Stegostoma tigrinum: one gene and its partner. The main gene of each other region encodes a partner of the protein of the gene in region 2 in a complex. Links are inferred from orthologs where the notes say so. Each region holds a gene or a part of one and is shown on either strand. Other genes may lie near its edges.

What was found. Proteins that work in one complex are often made in the same cells at the same time.
Region 1: kif11 (region 2) and mysm1 share a complex: the UniProt entries of both Homo sapiens proteins name them as parts of the large chromatin remodeling complex. The link is inferred for Stegostoma tigrinum from reciprocal best matches to the Homo sapiens genes KIF11 and MYSM1.

The regions. Positions count from the first base shown.
Region 1 is NC_081361.1:56,202,033-56,207,699, reverse strand, and holds the start of mysm1 (histone H2A deubiquitinase MYSM1), read left to right. Parts: upstream 1-1,394; 5' UTR 1,395-1,446; coding exon 1,447-1,502; intron 1,503-5,667. Other genes in the region: uncharacterized protein si:dkey-86e18.1, read left to right, coding at 1-408. UniProt on the Homo sapiens protein: Metalloprotease with deubiquitinase activity that plays important regulator roles in hematopoietic stem cell function, blood cell production and immune response.
Region 2 is NC_081373.1:41,823,384-41,829,050, forward strand, and holds the start of kif11 (kinesin-like protein KIF11), read left to right. Parts: upstream 1-2,231; 5' UTR 2,232-2,355; intron 2,356-5,667. UniProt on the Homo sapiens protein: Motor protein required for establishing a bipolar spindle and thus contributing to chromosome congression during mitosis. Required in non-mitotic cells for transport of secretory proteins from the Golgi complex to the cell surface.

The sequences.
Region 1 (5,667 bases), on a different chromosome or scaffold from region 2:
GACAACCAGGAGGATGACTGTGATGGGAAACCTGTTGAAGAAAGGGAAAAGAACTTCCTCAATCAACAGACACCACTTGGTGTCAATGATGACTTCTGCATGGTTAATTCCAGTTTTCAGGACCAGCCCCTTATGTTTAATCCTGTTAGAATTCCACCAAGGTTTTCTATGGCCTCAAACACACAAAATACATTGGGAGAAGGCTCACATCATATGAGCAAAATTCTTTTCACTCACCTACCAAACTTACAAACATCATCTTCCTGTGGAACCACTGCAGAGCTGCAAAGCAATGAAGGAAAAAAACATACATTCAAGACATCAGTAGTTTCTCAAGAAACTAGTTCACAGATGAAAAGCTCTGGAATTCTGGGACTATCTTGCTATTCTTCAGATGAAGATAAATAAGTAACAAATAACAGCTGATTCACATTAATTGTTCCATGTAATATTTTGTCTGAAATACTGTAATTGCTGAATGTGTGTAGATGCTATATTTTCAAAATTTATTTTTATTGGTGTTGTGCATTGTATGTAGAGCAATTTGTATATTTGTTGCATTGTATAATCGTTGAAATACAAATTCTTCCAATTCTCATAGTTGGTATGAATTTAAATCAGAAATAAAGGTGCTCTTATTTCAAATACTTTATTTTCTATATCCAAAAGCATCAAGAATGAATCATGTGAAAATCATCGCCATCTAGTGCTACTGCTAAAATGACATTCTACTTGTGCTAATACAACAACCTCTAACAAAAATCTTTTTACTGTTGTATTTGACTCGTTCAGATCAGTTTAAACCCTGCCTAAATGGCAGAGGATTGTGATGAATTTGATATGACTCATCTCCACTGATCTTAACACAGGTTCCATTTAATTCCTCCTTTTCGTTCATGGATTTTCTTCTGATTGTCTAATTTTGCTTCATGTTCTCATTGTGATGATTCTCAGCATGATTTTGATTTGGACTCGAAGTTGTTCTTATGAAGTTCATATTATTTTCACTTCGTCTTTTTGGTAGCGTTATTAATAGTGATATACGAAGATTTTCTCAGATTAATCAAGACGTACACTTTGCCACAGCTATAAAGTAAGCTCAATGATACAATTGTTGATTTTTTTTTGGATAACTTCACGGTGAACTCGCCCTTTTAACAACACTCCTGTTCCAAAAGTGAACATACCAGATGTAGAGCTGGATGAACACAGCAGGCCAAGCAGCATTTCTGATGAAGGGTCTAGGCCCGAAACGTCAGCCTTCCTGCTCCTATGATGCTGCTTGGCTTGCTGTGTTCATCCAGCTCTACACCTTGTTATCTCAGATTCTCCAGCATCGACAGTTCCTCCTGTCTCTGATACAGGAGAGAGTGAATGTGTATCAGGCGCTGCTGCTGACATCCGACAGGGGGCAGCAGGTGTCGGAAATGACGTTGGTGGTGCAATATGGCGGAGGAAGTGGATGTGGATATTGAAGGAGATGGAACGGAGCTGAACCTGGGGTAAGAGAAGAAACTAGGGCCTGTCTGCGGGACTTAGCTGCTGCAGAGCCTGAGTATTCCGTGGGTGGATGGAGAGCCCCTGTGTGTGTAAACCTGCCTGGGAGCCGCCTGGGTTTATTTATCTCTTAAATCAGTGATCCATTTGTAGTGTCTACACTGTGTACTGTTCACCGAACCACTATAAGCTGCTTTATTCCAGTTGAGAGTTAAGCGACTTGCGTTTGGGCCTGATTTAAAATGAGCGAATGTGTGTTTAATGCATCCAATAATCAAACCTACTGGGGGAGGCTTGAATTTCCCCTGCGAAGCACAGTACGTATATCGCAAGGGTAGGCTTCGTATAGGAATCGCAGCTACCAACTTCTGCTCTAGAAATTCCTACAAAACAAAACATTTCAATGATAAGCTGAGCTTTTGATGGTTGAGGGGTGTAAATGTTGGTCAGGATATTGGGAGAGCTTAACATCTTTTTAAGAGTGATATTGGATAGATTATGTACACATACTGGATTTAGTGCCAGGATTCATCCAAATGTGCATGACCGGAATTGAGACAGTAAATTGCCCGGTCTTACTTGAACCCTCCACCTCAAAGGTGTTATCAGTGTTCCCAAGAATAAAAATCAGAATTAAATAAGACACCTAGAATCATAGAATGGTTTCAACATTGATGGAAACCGTTCAGTCATTAGTCTTTGCAAATCATCTGAGGGGGCAGTTCACCTGAAAATTTGTCACCTTCTCCTGTAATCCTGCAAAGATGATCCTTTTTGAGAAATGATTCTATTCCCATTTAAAAGATCAATCAAACTACACATGCAGTCAGTGCATTCCAGATCTGCATGATTCGCTGCAAGAAAGATTTCTTCTTCTTGCACGTTTTGTCTCGTAACCAAAATCTGTGCCTCTAGTTTTTGATCTTTACACCAATTAGAAGTTTTTCTCCGTATCTACTCTGTTGAAATACCTTGTGGTCTTTAGTACCTATATCCAATTGCCTCTCTTCAAGGAAATTAGTCTCAATGTCTCCAATTAATCTTGTAACTGAAGTTTTACAACCCTGGAAGGATTCTTGTGATCTTTTCTGCATCCTGTCAAACCTCTATGTCCTTCCTAAAGTATGCTGCCTAGAACTGGATAAGTACTCTAGTTATGACTGAACCATGACTATGTGTTTAACATTGTTTCCTTGCTCTTATACTGTTTGCCTCTATCAATAAATGCCTAAGAATCATATGCTTTATTACCAAGCTCTTCACCTGTTCTTCCACCTTGAATGGTTATCACATATATACCCTGATCTCTCTCCATTTGCACTCTGTTAGGAATTGTATCTTTTTGTTTATATTGGCATAACTATTCCATTATGGTCAGAAACTCTACTTCCACACCTGATTAGATTAAAATTACCAACTAAGCTTTAGATGAATGAGAAGACACTAGGAAACATAGAGGAAAAGAGGGATTTTGTGATGCCTGTCCACAGATCCCTGAAGGTTTAGGACAGGTTATTTGTGTAGTTAAGGCATAGGGGACTCTTACCTTTATCAGTCATGGCATAGTTTATAAGAACATGGGGCCATTGCTGGAGCTTATATGGTTTTTTTTGTAAGGCCACAGCTGAAGTACTATGTGCAGTTGTGGTGACCACACTGTAGGAAGGATGTGATTGCACTGGAGGGGGTGCAAAGGAGATTCACCAAAGTGTTACCTAGCATGGAGCATTCAGCTACAAAGAAAGGCAGGATGAGCTTGGCTTTTTTTCTTTGGATCGGAGAAGGTTGAGTGAAGACCTGATAGAGGTGTATAAGCTTATTAAGGGCATGGACAGGGCGAATAGAAAGCAGATGTTCCACTTATTTGAAGGGTCAGTAATGAGGGAAAATAATTTTAAAATGAAAGGCAGGAGGTTTAGTGTAGGTTTGAGGAAAAACATTTTCAGCTAGAGTATGGTGGGGGTCTGGAAAGCAGTGCCTGCGAGTGTAGTTGAAGCAGGAAACCTCACAACCTTTAAAAAATATTTGGATCCATGCTTGGACTAGTGTAGGTTATGGTATATTTTTAGTGTGCAGACTTGATGAGCCGAAGAGCCTGTTCTGTACATTGTGATTTTGCGTCTCTTGTCCTGGAGTTTCCTTGACAGGGATTTCTTGTAACTAGCCAGTCTAGGAATTCATGAATCCAGCAGTGAAGAGAGTAGGTGTTGGAAACCATACTATTTTGATAGCTGCTGTGAAGGCGTAACAGTAAGGTAAGTGCAGGGTTATTGTACCAGCTAGATAGGGTGCCCATGTAAGCCATCAGGTGCTTTGGCTAGTTGGTGGATGGGCAACAGGAAATGTTGTGGGATGGTGAATCAGGATGTGGTGGTCTGGTGAAGGGTTAGTCATAAGGGATCGGTAGGGAGGTGTATGGGAGGGAGTCTGTTTAATAGTAATCCAAAAGGTTAGACTATATTTTTAATCGTCTTGACTTTTCCTGCATGACTGTTAAACCTAAGTGAGTTGTAAGCCTTTGAATCTCTTGACTTTTTTTAATGAATCTTTTTGGAGTGTTCCAGATGCCGGGGATTTGCTCATTGTCCAGAATTCAATTTCCCAAGCAATTTGCATGGCATCAGCTGCATGTAGAATTTTGCATAGTCCCAGCACACAACTATCTTAAATGTGCCACCACAGTCTGCGTGGCTCTGGTGATTTCCTGACCAATGGAAATTTTAGACACTTGTCTCTTTTTATTTTTCCTACTAAAATGAATCACTTCACATTTCTCTGCATTAATTAATTTTCTATCACTTGTCGATTCATTTCGTCAATATCCTATGGGGTGTTTTACATAATTTTTGTTAGTTCACATTATTTCCGAATTTTACCTTATCTGCAGTTTTTCTAATTTACACCAGTGTTTTGGCTATGATGAAGAACAGGGACCCTAATATCGACACTTGAGGACCTCTTTCTTCTTCCTTCATTCTGAAAAATGACTACACTCTTGCTGCTTGTTTCCCGGCACTTGGCTAATTTTGTATCCATCTTGCATGGAATATAATGTGGAATACTGGGAGTTTTTGCACTTTGCAAGAAGAATAGGCCACTTGGCCCTCTGCACCTGCTCCACCATTTAAGATGATCAAAGCTGATCATTCAACTCAGTGATAATGGGAACTGCAGATGCTGGAGAATTCAAGATAATAAAGTCTGATGAAGGGTCTAGGCCCGAAACATCAGCATTTATGCTCCTGAGATGCTGCTTGGCCTGCTGTGTTCATCCAGCTTCACATTCAACTCAATAGTGTGTTCCTGCTTTTCCTCCATATCCTTTAATCCTTTAGACCCTAGTGTTATGGCTAACTCCTTCCTGAAATCACACAATGTTTTGGACTTGACTGCTCTCTATGCTAGCAAATTCCACAGACTCACCACTCTCTGGGTGGAAAAAAATTCTTCTCATCTCAGTCCTAAATGGTTTACCCCCTAAGCTTAGTCTGTGACCCCTGGTTCTGAAGACTCCTGGCCTCAGAAATATCTTTCCTGCGTCTGCCCTTTCTAATCCTATTCGGTGAACTTATGGTGCTTTGTAAATTTGCCATAGCCTACAATCATCTGAATGTGTCTCGCAATTTGGAACAATTGCTTTAAAGCCAAAGTTGTGCATGTTTCTCTAGCATTAAAAAAGTTGACACTCCCCTTGTCCCCTAACCATCTTTGTGACCTCTTCCAGCTCTGCAATCAGCAGAGATCACTGTTCACCAGCAGTTCTGGTCTATCACGCATTCCCTGATTTTCTCCACTCCAGCACTTGTGGCTCGGCCTGAAACTGTCTCCACTCTCATCTTCAGACATCCCTCTTTAAACATGTCTGCCTCACTTTCAGAAGCTACTTAAAACTGACCTCTTTTGGTCAGCCTTCTTCATATTTCCTTCCGTGGCCAGTGTCAAATTCTGTTTGATAGCATTCATGTGAAGCGTCTTACTCTATTAAAGGTGCTACATAAATACAATTGTTGTTGCAGAATTGTCCTAATTGCAATGTTTATATTAAATTAAACAACTGGCAGATTCCCACAATCATACTTGCGAGGAACATTTGAGAAAACAGTAGAACATTATTTAAACCAGAAGGTCAGAAAGGGACTGGGAGAAAAAGATGGATTCCAACATAGAATG
Region 2 (5,667 bases):
AAAATTCCACTATACTACACATTGCGCACACATTACCTTTCAATTCATCAACAGACTTCGTATTTTGGCATCCCGATGTGACAGCTATCTACGTCTTTATGCAGAAAGATGGAGAACAGACAGGTCGGGCTAATAAGTGACAAAGAGCATTCACAATGTATACCCTATATATCTAGTGGTCAGAAAAGCAAATGAAAGCAGAGTCCTGTCCAAAGCAGACTGCTTAGTATTGAAGCACTGGCAATAGGGCATGACATGTCGTTCACACACGTACATGCTTGATACTGGACCACCAAAACTAGCTGCAGTAGTTTATGTGGCCCACTCAGTCTGCTTTGCCATTCAAAGAGATCATGACTGACCTGACAGTCCTCAACTCCAATTTCCTGCCTTATCACCATAACCCTTCATTGAAAGCAGGCGACTTCCAGGAGGACAATAGAAATGCTTAAACCATGTCCTTAAAATATCCATGAAGAGTTAAAAAACCGAATAAAAACAGAGAAGATTCATTTGAAAAGGCATGGGAACTTTCTCAGAAACATGCAAAAGTGAAGTTGAGGCATTGGAGAGATTACAGAAACCAACAAACAGCTACTACTCTGCATGTGGCAGACTCTGCATTTCACACATTGGACTTTTTCTGCCATCTCAGCACCCATGACCAGAACCATCAAGTTGGCCTGACTAAGAAGGAAAGCACTCACATGACACAGGTAGCAAGCAATGGACATTTCCAACAAGGCAGATAATTTTTCACAGTCAACAGCATTATCATTGTTGAATCCCCCAAAGTCAACATCTTACAGGGTTATCAATGACCAGAAAATGAACCAACCATATAAAGTGGGAAAGTGTCAGATTCTGCAGTGTGCAATTCACTTCCAAGCTTGTCTAAAATTTACAAGGCACAAACCAGGAATACTCTCCACTCACCTGGATGTGTACAGCTCCAACAATCACAAAGCTCAGCCCTATTCAGGACAAAGTAATCTTCTTGAATGCAACTTATCCACCATCTTCAACATTCGCTCCCTTTACCACTGATGTACATTGACAAGTTTGCACCATCTGCATAAATGTAGCACAGTAACTCCTTTGACCATACCGACTCAAACTAAAACTTCAACGTATAAAGACTAGCACTGAAGACAGGGCTGGCTACTGCCTGCAAGTTCCCCTCCAAGACAAACACCATCCCTGACTTGCAGCTATGTTGTAGTTTTTTTGTCACTGCATCAAAATCCTGGAACTAGTGTCCTACAGCACCACACTTATTACTACTCCAGACAGCCAACAGCAATTCAAAAAGGTAGCTCATGGCCACTATCTCAAATATAAATTGGTCTTACCAGAAACATTAGATCCCATAAAAGAATAAAACACAAATCTTACAAACGTGTTTAAATCATTTCAAGGCCTTGATTATCCTTTAGTCTTGGGCTCCCAAAGTTGGACGTCAGGATCCTAAATGGAGTTCAACGTTGCAATTTTGAAATTGCAAGCTTCAAGACAGTACATATCATTACAAAGATCTGACTGAATTACAACAGTTATGTTCTACCAGGCCCCTACTTCATAGTTTTCTCATCTTCTCTTGAAGAAGTGTCTGACTTCCTACTCATAACATATCCCTCTTTTGCTACGTGTTCACTTTTGTTTGATCATACCTCAAAAAAGTGTGGAAATGTTTCCTACGTTAAAATTGTTGTACAAATGTTCTTTACCTTCTGGTTATGTCCGTACGTGACATGTTTTACCTTTGTAACCAATGTTCACTTGTCTACTACCTACATCCCTGAATTTAATACAAATCCTCCCTTTGTTGAAGAAGTCAACCCACATTTACTGCTGAGGTCCCATCAAAAACATGAAGAATACATTAAATTGTATTCTATAAATTTAAAAGATATTAAAAACGAGATTAGACTCTCGACTTTTAAAGCCTAATTCCCACATTATAAGATTTAACTTTGAAGCCATTTTCTTTGCTCTGAAACACACACAAAACATGGAAATAGAAACACCCTACATCCGGGAACTATTCCCTCATCGCCATGGCCACCGTTACACCTCAGACCTTCCTCTCGTCACAGCCACTGTACCAACACTCCCGGCAAACACCACGCATCAAACGGTCACTAACCAATCGGAAAGACGCGAGGTGGCATTGGCCTGTTCTGATTGGATGATGTTCGCGGAAGCGCACTTTTTAAATGTGTAGTTGAGAGCGGCCGCAGGCTGCTTGCTGGCGTTCGGGCTTTGAATCGGGGGGTCTGCAGTAATCGGAGTCGATAGGAAATCATACCAATAGATTTTCAGAAAATACGATTCGCCTACTTTTCGTCAGTTTTGGTAAGATTGATTCCAGTCTGTGTCTTAAAACGATTAGATGAGAAGCCTCCCTGGGCTGAAATGGTCGGTGGAGACTCTATGTGGCCGCCTTTTGTGCTGAATTGAACTTGTTCATAGCCAGAACTGCGATTAATTTGTAAATTAATAGCGCCAGATTTATCTGATTTGATTCACTAGAAGTGATAGATTTTTTAAAAATTGTCTCTTGATGAAGTTTGCATCTGTTAAAGGCCGGAGTCTGGCTTTTGTGGGAAATGTTCATCGCCCGCCTTGACTTCCCCATAATCTTCGTTCCAGTTTGATTTTAAAGATCTTCTGAGGCTGTGAAAGATAAATTTCCCGTTGTTGTTGTTGAAAAACTTCCTGTCCGGACAAATTATCTCTGCCAGGGTCGCAAAGGATTTTTAAATTTGGCAGCAACATTTGTTTTCCCTTCTCCCCAAAGTGACGGGCTTCCGTTTTAACAAAAACTTCGGGGGAAATCGCTTTATAGTGAAATGTTTCAAACGAAGTTTTGATAATTCGCTGAGAAGTGGGCTTTCTTTTTGTTACCTAGTCTGTCAGAATCTGCACCCAACCTACCTGAGATTTTACATATTCGTAACTAGCATTTGTCTTTGTTTGAAACTTAGCGTTTCAAGCATAGTTTTTGTTTCAGTGCAACGAATGAAAACTGAATTAGTAAAAAATCACGACATTTTTTAAGTACAGTAGGAAATTGTTACCTACATAGTTGTTTCAGAGGACTGTTGTTTGAGACGTTGTTTAAATCAGTGTCTTTCAAGTGGAACTTAACTGCATGCATGTGTATCTGGTTTAGCTTAGGCTAACTCCTCTTTTTTATAAAGATTTTAATTATGTAGTTCTTTTCAAAAAGAAAATGGAGAAATCACTTGGACCAGATAGACTACATCCCAGACATATAGAGATGGTATCTGGAGATTGTGGAGACACTGGTGATCTTTCAGAAATCACTGAAGTCAGGGGGTGCCACAGGACTGGAAAATGGCTAATGTAACACCCCTGTTTAAGAAGGGAAGGAGATAGAAGACAGGAAATTATAGATTGGTTAGCCTGAACTTGATTGTTAGTGAGATTTTACAGACCATTGTTAATGATGAGATTGCAGATTAATAGAAATGCATGGTAAAAACAGCCTGGTTTTATCCAGAGGGGATCATGTCTGACAAATGTTAGAATTCTTTAAGGAGGTAACGAGCAAATTAGAAAAAGGAGAGCTGGTGGTATATTTGGATTTCCAGAACACTCTTGATAAGATGATTCACAGGAGACTGCTAAATAAGTTAAGAACCCATGGTGTTAGGGGCAAGTTACTGGCATGGGTAGAGGATTGGCTGACTGATCAAAGGCAGAGCATAGGAGTAAAGTAGTCCTTTTCAAGATGGCAGTGAGTAAGTAGTGGGGGTTCGCAGGGGTAATTGTTTGGATCCCAACGATTCATGTTGTGCATTAATGATTTGGGTGAATAAACCAAGGACATCGTTGTTAAACTTGCAATTACACAAAAGTAGTTGAGCAACAGTGGCACTGAGGAAGTGGGAAGATTGCAGAAGGACTTGGACGAGTTAGGAGAGTGGGTAAAGAAGTGGCAGATGCAATACAATGTGGGAAAGTGTCAGATTATCCATTTTGATAGGAATAGCAGAGGCATGGACTACTTTCTATTTGAGGGAGGAAATGTTTTGGCTATCTGAAGCACAGAGACTTGGGAGTCCTAGTTCAGGATTTTCTTAAGGCTAACATGTAGGTTCAGTTGGCAGTCAGGAAGGCAAATATAGTATCAGTATTTATTTCAGGAGAGCTGGAATACAAGAAGAGAGATGTAATGCTGAGGCTGAATAAGACTACATTTGGAATATTGAGTAGTTTTGTGCCCTGTATCTAGGGAAGGACATGCTATTGTTGGAAATGGTCCAGAGGAGGTTTACAAGAATGATCCAGGAGTGAATGCCTTGTCACATGAAGAGCGGTTGGCAACTTTGGTTCTGTACTTGATGGGGTGTAGAAGGACAAAGGAGGATTTAATTTGAAACTTGTAGAACACTGAGGCCTGGATAGAACGAAGGTGTAGGAGAGACAGGGACGCACAGCCTTAGAGTGAAGGGAGGATCTTCAAACTGAGATGAGGCAGAATTTCTTAAGGGTGGCGAACCTGAGGAACTCATTGCCACATGAGCCTTTGGAGGTCAGGCTACCCGAGTGTATTTAAGACAGATGGTTCTTGATTACTCAGAAGATCAAGTGTTACAGAGAAAAGGTAAGAAAGGATTGAGACACATCAGCCAGATTGCATAGTGGAATAGAGTCAATGGCCCAAATGGCCTAATTCTGCTTCTGTATCTTGTCGTCTAAAAATACACAACTTTCAGGCCATGATGAAATGTGGAAATGGAACCCAACATTGTCGGAGGTTCATAGTTGCAAATGTTGAATATCTGATTTGTAACATGTCTAGCACTTGAGATCTTTGCCAAAACCTCCCAAATTCAAAAGAACCTGATAAATAAGTATGGGATTAAATTGTTTGGTTATGCATGCTAGAATTAGTGTTAAAATGAAGGTATTTTGTGTCTACAGTAAGATTTGGTAGATTTGTTTGCATTATACTGTTACAGTGAAATTGTTTAAATTAACTAAAAAAGTACAATTTTTGTCCATCTCAGAGGAACATAAGATAAAGTTGCACGGTCTTACAGGTAATGTATTGGCATGGGTAGAGAATTGGTTGACCAGTAGAAAGCAAAGAGTAGGGGTAAATGTGTGTTTTTCTGTTTGGTGGTCAGTGGCTAGTGGTGTGCTTCAGGGATCAGTGTTGGGGCCGCAATTGTTTACAATTTACATAGATGATTTGGAGTTGGGGACTAAGTGCGGTGTGTCAAAATTTGCAGATGACACTAAGGTGAGTGGTAGAGCAAAGTGTGCAGAAGACACTGAAAGTCTGTGGAGGGATATGGGTGGTCTGCGAGTGGAGATGTGCAGATGGGGTACAAAGGACTAACAGCAAAATGGGCCATGCTTTAAAGGGTAAAAATTGCAGTACGCTGCTGTGCAAAGGGACTTGGGTGTCCTTGTGCATGAATCACTAAAAGTAGGATTGCAGGTGCAGCAGGTGATTAAAAAGGCAAATGGAATTTTGTCTGCCATTGCTCGAGGGATGAAGTTTAAAAACAGGGAGGCTATGCTGCAGCTGTATTGGGACCTGGTGAGGCCACACTTGGAGTACTGTGTGCAGTTTTGGTCCCCTTACTTGAGAAGAGATATGCTAGCACTGGAGGGGGCGCAAAGGAGGTT